Mus musculus: one gene and its partner. The protein of the gene in region 2 interacts with the protein of the main gene of each other region in a pairwise test. Links are inferred from orthologs where the notes say so. Each region holds a gene or a part of one and is shown on either strand. Other genes may lie near its edges. The genes, in order: Crx and Lonrf1.

Region 1 (3,819 bases), on a different chromosome or scaffold from region 2:
CCTTCTCCTCCTCTCTCTCCCCTTCCTCCTTTCTTCCTACTTCTCTCTCTCCTATCCTCCCTTTTCTCTTCCCCTTCCTTTTATCCCTCCCCCTCTCTTTCATTACAACAGGGTTTCACTACATAGCCCAGGCTAGCCCTGAAATCATGGTCTCAAGAGATCCTCCTACCTCAGCCTCCCAAATCTCTGGAACTACAGGCAAGGGTCACTGTACCAGATGCCTCTCTTGAAACTTTATGCTCAAAGATATATTTTGTTGAAACATGACGTTGTCAATAACCATGACTTCTGCTTATAAAAGTGGTAAGCCTCTGTGGTTCAACTTAATGTAAGAGAAGGGGGGGGGGACTAACAAGATAGTGCAGCATGTATAGGCACTTGTGTATAAGCCTGAGGACCTGAGTTCAATACCTGGGACCCAGTGGTAGAAGGGAAAAAACAACTCCTCTGCAAGGGAGCCATGGCAAGCATGCCCCCTGCTCCCTACCCTTCATGCAAAAATAAATAGTGTTTTATTTGTCCTTCAAGGAAAAAGAAAGGCTAGATCAGGTGGCTCCTGCCTTTAATTCCAGCACTCAGGAGGCAGAGACCAGCAGAACTCTGAGAATTTGTAAAGAAACCTGATCTATATGGTGAGTTCCAGGCCAGGGCTACATAGTGAGAGCCTGTTGGAAGGAAAGAAGGAAGGAAGGAAGGAAGGAAGGAAGGAAGGAAGGAAGGAAGGGAGGGAAAAGAAAATGAAAGAAAGAGAGAGAAAGAGAGAGAGAGAGAGAGAGAGAAAGAAAAGGAGGGAGAGAAAGACAAGAGATGAGAGATATGTCAAGTAATAGTGTATCATAGTAGAACATGATGGTGAAGGACTTCAATCTCAGCACTCTAGAGTCTAGAGTCAAGAGTCTGGGACATGTTCAGTTATAGAGTGAGGGGCTGGGGGCATGGCTCAGTGGTAGAGCCCCTGCCTAGAATCCTGCAGTTATGATGGGGCATAGTTCCATGCTAATGTGCCTACCTAGAAGCCACAAGGCCCTGGATTCCAGCCCAAAAACCTCTACTCCAAAAGAGAAAAAGAAAAGAAAAAAACTTTACAGACAGATGGAAATCCTATTGATTCTGCTTCCAAACCAGTTCCCTTCCCCTCCCCTCCCTCCAGAGGTAGTCAATGTCATGACTATATACTCCTCTGAATTCCTGGGGAACATGTAAAAGTCCCTGGAATGCCAAACTCCTTTGCATATGGACATAGAGCAGGTACAAGGTCCTACTGCCCCCCTCCACCCCATGAATGCTTTTTCTCCTGAAGGCAATGAACCTCAGAAGGTCTTAAAAAACAGACTGGAGGTGGAAAGGAGAACATACTTACTTGAGTATGGGACAGCCTGGTGCATCAGGTCCACATTGGGGCCACTCAGAGCCAAGGCATTGACTGAATAGTGAGGCCCCGGGTTCATATATGCCATCATGATCTTCAGAGACTGTGGCCCAGATGAGGGCACCTACAAGAGAACAGGGTGTCCAACAGACTACTCTGCCCAGTGCCTGGGCATTTACAAACTGAGACTCACAGACTCACATCCTGCTTCAGGTTTTCTTTGGGATCCAACCAATCTTGCCCATCAAAATCTCTCTCTCTCTCTCTCTCTCTCTCTCTCTCTCTCTCTCTCTCTCTCTCTCTCTCTCTCATACACACACACACACACACACACACACACACACACACACATTTTTAGAGGCCAAGTGTTGTGGTACATTCATTTTCTAACTGAGGAGACAGAACTCTGTGACTTTGAGGCCATCCTGGTCTACATAATAAGTTTCAGGGCCTCAGTATATAGCCCTGTGTAATTGTCACTTTAATTTCCTCGAATGAAGTGATGAGATGACAGCTGTACCCAGGGTGTGTGAATACACAACCTGGGCTGAGCCCAGAGTGTTTCTATCTAATTATCCCTAGGCCTAGGCCTGGAAGCTCCAAGCCTCCATACAATCCAATCTTCTGCAAGCCCAGACTTGGAAGGCTTTGACTTCCAGACTCCACCTGCTCAACTTAGGCCTATTTCAGCCTCTGAGATATAGTACTGAATAAGTTCATCCTTTCTAGCTCTCTCTGAACTCCCTGAACTCTGGCTGGATGGTTCAACTCAACTGTCTGGCTCAAATGCTTCTACAAGCTGATTGGTTCAGACTGGCTTCTCTCTTGCTTCTGACCGAATTGTTCTTCTTGGAAAAACTGCCTCTGAACTCCACGAACTGAGCTGCACTGACTTCACTGACAAAACTGCACAAACTCAACTGAACTCTGCTGCATTCAGCTGAATTGCCTCAAACACACCGCTCTTAAGTAGCCTCTTTCTTGTCTTGTTTTTTTTAATTTATTTATTTATTATATGTAAGTACACTGTAGCTGTCTTCAGACACTCCAAAAGAAGAAGTCAGATCTCACTACAGAAAGTTGTGAGCCACCATATGGTTGCTGGGATTTGAACTCAGGACCTTTGAAAGAGCAGTCAGTGTTCTTAACCACTGAGCCATCTCTCCAGCCCCCTCTTGTCAGTTCTTTTACAGGGTTTCTCTGTGTAGCCCTGGCTGTCCTGGAACTCAATTTGTAGACCAGGCTGGCCTCAAACTCAGAAATCTGCCTGCCTCTGCCTCCCGAGTGCCGGGATTAAAGGCATGCGCCACCACACCCGGCTTCTTGTCAGTTCTTAAGAGAGTTGTACATATCCTATATCTGACTCATTCTGTCAAATCTTTCTCTGATTCATCACTTTATCAGCCACTTAATTCACACATCATTATTTGGAATTAAAGGTACGTGCTAAGGGCTTGTCTATATTCCAGCCAAAGGGATTAAAAGAGTGTACTAAGGGTGTGTCTGTGTTCCAGCCAGATCACACAGACCTATCTCTTTGGGTACGATCCCTTGCCAGAGTAGCCATATTGCTAGATTAAAATTCCTCTATAGCCCTGGCTGCTGGCATGGAACTCAATTGTAGACCAAGCCACAACATCCAAATAAAAAATAAGTAAATAAATAAATAAATAAAAACTTTTTTGACTTTGTGCAGCAGTATTTCATGTAACCCTGGCTGACATTAAATTCGCCAAGGTAAGGCTGTAGCCAAAGTTGATTTCATATTTCTGACCCTCCTGCCTCTACCTCACAAGTGCTGAGATCACTTGTATTAACCATCATTCCCAGGCTGTGTGTGTATGTGTGTGTGTGCTTGTATGTACGTGTTTGTGAGTGCAGTGTGTGTCTGTAGGGGAGTGTAGAGGGATGTTTTTGTATGAGGGTGTGTGTGTGTTTGTGTATATGAAGGGAATTGTATGTGTGCATGTATGGTGTGTGTGTGTGTGTGTGTGTGTGTGTGTGTGTGTGTGTGCAAGTGGAGGGGAGGCTAAAATTCAACCCCAAATTTATTGATCAAGCTACTCACCTCATTTTTTTTTTCATTTTATTTTTGAGAGGTCTTATATAGCTCAGGTTGGCCTCAGACTTGCCAAATAGCTGAGAATAACCTCTTGTCTCCAGCTCGCAAGTGCTAAGATCACAAGTCAGTACCACCATACTTGGTTTATGGAGTGCTGGATATCAAACCCAGGTCTTCACAAATGCTAGGCAAGCAGTCTACCTCCTCAGGTCTCGCACTAGTCTGGAAATCACTGTGTAAGCTAGGATAGCTAGCCAGCAAGTCACAGGGATCCAGCTGTTTCTGTTTCACCAGTGTTGGAATTATAAGCACAATGTGCCCACTTTTTTAACCTGGCTTCTAGGAAACAAACTCAGATCCTCATACTTGGAAAAACCAAGCAGGCTAC
Region 2 (3,819 bases):
CATCCACACTTTGGCCTTCCTTCTTCTTGGGCTTCATATGATCTGTGAATTAAATATATATACATATATACACACACACACACACACACACATATATATGCATGCTGCTTATGGCTTAGACAGGGTTAATGTGGCCTCTCGATGGTTTTGGGACCTAATTTACCAACTGGAATTAAAGTACCAGAAAGTGGCTGCTGTTTTAAGTATCAAATTGATAGCAATTTCTACAGGAAAGACAGGATAAAATATAGGTCTTACATTAGCACTGTTCACCAGTCTATTCCAGCCCTTTATTTCAGTCAACATTTCCTGATTGCTGGGCATCTTCACAAAGAGTTCATAAGACTTTTCACAAAACTAAGAGAGTTAGCAGATAGAGTGATTGGGAGTCTGTGATGTATTACAGAAACGATGGAAGGCTGACTGCCTCTACGTCCTGTGAACTCTCCCTACACCACGCTGCCTCTCTGCTGATAAGTGATTAGCTTGATGTTGCTTGTTCTCTCTTATAAAGAAAGATGCCATGTGGTGGGAGGCAGAGGAGGCAGGTCTCTTGAGTTTGAGGCCAACCTGATCTACATAGCTCCAGGATGGTTGGGACTACATAGAAAAACCTTGAGGCAAACAAGCAAACAAAAAGATGTCATACGGGAATACTTTGCTGTATCAATCAGGGCAGAATATTTTATGAGTGAGTTGAAAATTTTAGTTGATTGATAGTCTTTGTCTTATGTGTGGTTGGCTAATGAAATTGTTTGCTAAAGATGGTGTGCTTTGTAAAACCCAAAAACCAGTTTTAATTTTGGTAAATGTGTATAATGTTAGATCACATTTGACGGCAAAGTGCTTTGGGCGGGCAGCTGAGCACACATGGCTAAGGCGCACACCCAGTAGAGTAGCACATTGAAAGTGTGTGTAGAAACCGACATGGTGCTGGGAGACTGGAGTCACGCCTTAGATCCTTCCTGTTCCCATTTCGTATGTTTCAGCATTTTGCTTTTGCTGTTGTCTGTGCTGGTCTGGTCTGGAAGACCTCAATTTTATTATTTACCTTTTCTTCTTGTGGTAGTAATTCTGGGATGTCTAAGGAAATGTTAAGGTCAATCTTTAAAAAGCCTGCTTTTGAAATGCTGCTTGTTTCCTGGCTGGTTTTGTTTATCTCGCAGAGGTGTAGCTCTTCGCCATTTTAACTATTTTTAAGCACCACTTATGGATATATCTATCACATTATGCAAATTACAACTAACTTAATGCATAGTTTTAATGGTCATTTTATTTTTTTCAGAAGTAAGAATGTGTGGCCTTTTGTGTTTTGTGTCTTTTATATTTCAAAAATCTTCCCATAGCCAGTAGGCCAGGAACATGGTCCACCCTTTAGGATGGATGGGTCCCTTGGCCATCCACCTGCGTTCTGCTGGTCTTCTTCGGCTGGACGATGTCTTTCATTTTACATTTGCCATCCGGTGGTCTAGAGGGCACAGGGAGGAGTTTGTGGAGGGAGCCACGGTGTTGGACCCTTATGGCAGAAGTTGAAATTGTATATTTTATGCTCTACCTTTTGACATGCCAATTTTTTTAGCAAGTATTTTTGTTGCATTTGTGTTTTGTATTTTGACCCAGTTCTCCCATTAATCATGTATTCATGGCCATCCTCCTGTTGCTGCTCTCTGCCGTGTGTAACCCGAGTGCCCCATTTCTCTTTTTACTGTAGCAACTATTTTATTCCAAATTTGTGTAGACCTTTGAACCAGAGCCCACTGTCCACCATACTTGCTCCTTCCCAGGCTGTCAGTCAGGTTGCTGCTTGCTCCCAGTGGAGACCAGGCACTGCTCTTCCCAGAGAGTCCTGTCAGCACTCTGTAAGGCAGAAACATAACCTGCTATTGCCTGAGAATAACACTCTGATAGCCTAGCACCGACAAGGACCTTTCCCAGTGTCCCGTGGGGCTGAGCCTAAGCGCTCGGACACCTCTGAGATCTTACTGCCTGCTCTTCCTAGATTGAGAATGGAGATGAAATAAGGAGCCTGCGAGAGCTCCATGACTCGGTGTACTCGCAAGCCTGCAGCTGGTTTCAGAATTTAAGGGACAGATTTCGAAGCCAAATCCTTCAGCACTTTGGATCAATGCCTGAGAGAGAAGAAAACCTCCAGGTAGGATGGCTCTGCTGCCGCTGCCACTGCCTGTCTCCCTTTCTCAGGAACCTGATGAACAGCTTTCCACCTCCCCCTTCTTTTATTGCCGTCGACCCCATCTTGAGCATTATGGCTGTATTCTCTAGAGCACTGGTATCTGCTACATGTAGCCCAGGCAAGGATGCCTGCAGGAAAGAGGGTGCCACAGAGGGAGGGGGTCTTGTCTCAGGATGTCTCGAGGGTTGTAAGATGTAAAATGGATGCTAGCCTGCATTAAACTGTGACTCTGAAGCCACCGTACCTCCCAGCCCATCACCCGTGCCTTTGACAGTTGAGAGATGTGTGGTTTTTTCCATCCTTTAGGAAGTCTGCTCCTCTCTTTTTATCTCCTAACTACTGTTCACCGTTTCAATCCACTTTTGTCTAGCTGCATGTAACACTTCCATTATCATAAAACCATCATTCTTGGGGTCCTGCTCAAGTACTGGGGTTTACATCAAAACTGAACCTAATCATTAATGTGATTTAGATTCTTTCTGTGCACCAAGCTCCGCAGTAGCAATTGCAAAACCCATTAGGGGGTCCCTTACCCTGGGGACTCCAACCACAGGCTCCTGAGACAACCAATATTAAGCAGTACATTTTGAATTGAATAAAGTCTTTATGGTTGACTTCATAGTGGGATGGCTGTACATCTATGAAGGTGGAGGGATAATAGATCCAAGTGTGATCCATCTCTCACTCCATCCTTCAGAGGTTGGTTTGAGTCTCTTATGTCAGCATCAGGACCATTTCCAAACTGAGGACACGCAGATGCTACGTCTGTGTTGCCCATTGTGGCATGTTCATCCTGCACACCTGAACCTGGTTAAACATTATAGAAGTATGCTCTCATAAGACGAAGCAGGATAACACATTTAAAGCCTCCAGAATGTAGCTTCCGTCAAAGTCTGGGCAGAACTCCCCCATGGTCCTCTCTTCTCTCCTCTCTCAGTAGCTGCCACTGGTTTCTGTTAATGCCACATTAGGAGTCAGGGAAACAAAGCAGCCTCTGGAGAGATCCAGGAGTGAGAGGGTTTGTAAAGAGGGACGGGTATGGGCGTTGGAGGCTGGAGGAACAAAGGTCAGCGCCAACGGCACCAGAGGCCACAGGATCCCTCCGCAGTGCATCAGGAGCAGCAGAGCACCATGGCTCGCTGGAACTTGTGGAGAAAGTGCTGCAGTTCTTGGGGCCCCAGGGAACACCCGTCTGTCTGTCCATCAGTCAGAGGCAGTGGAATGGGTAGTTCTCTAGAATCCTCTGGAAAGCCACACCCCACGCTTTGCAAAAGTTTCTAGAAAATAATGACCTCATTATCCGTTTCTGCATCTGGTAAGAATGCCATTGGCCCGATTGTGTCTAACCTGGAGACACGTGGAGGGTGGGATCCTGGGAAGTTTTCTCTGGAATGCAGAAGGAAGTGGGAGTGGTGCAGAGATCAGAGCGGTGGAGAGTGGGGCAGTGGCACAGGTTGCTTAGATACTGCCGTGGTTCCTTCATCACTCTGAATGTTGCTATTTTGTGGCTCGTGAGCACCAGTGCAGTGACAGTAAGAAAGGCTATGGAGTCCTGTTGTGCACACTTACCGTGACTCTGTGGCTGTGTGCAGCCCTTGCAACGCACAGGAGCTTCCTTGACTTGTCCT

Evidence for each region.
Region 1: the proteins of Lonrf1 (region 2) and Crx interact in binary tests that used the Homo sapiens proteins (3 or more experiments, as listed by UniProt). The two-hybrid records come from large-scale screens. The link is inferred for Mus musculus from reciprocal best matches to the Homo sapiens genes LONRF1 and CRX.

The regions. Positions count from the first base shown.
Region 1 is NC_000073.6:15,869,784-15,873,602, forward strand, and holds part of Crx (cone-rod homeobox protein), read right to left. Parts: intron 2,603-3,819; exon of another isoform or gene 2,530-2,602; coding exon of another isoform or gene 2,491-2,529; intron 1,494-2,490; coding exon of another isoform or gene 1,461-1,493; coding exon 1,361-1,460; intron 1-1,360. UniProt on the Homo sapiens protein: Transcription factor that binds and transactivates the sequence 5'-TAATC[CA]-3' which is found upstream of several photoreceptor-specific genes, including the opsin genes.
Region 2 is NC_000074.6:36,218,159-36,221,977, reverse strand, and holds part of Lonrf1 (LON peptidase N-terminal domain and RING finger protein 1), read left to right. Parts: intron 1-1,999; coding exon 2,000-2,152; intron 2,153-3,819.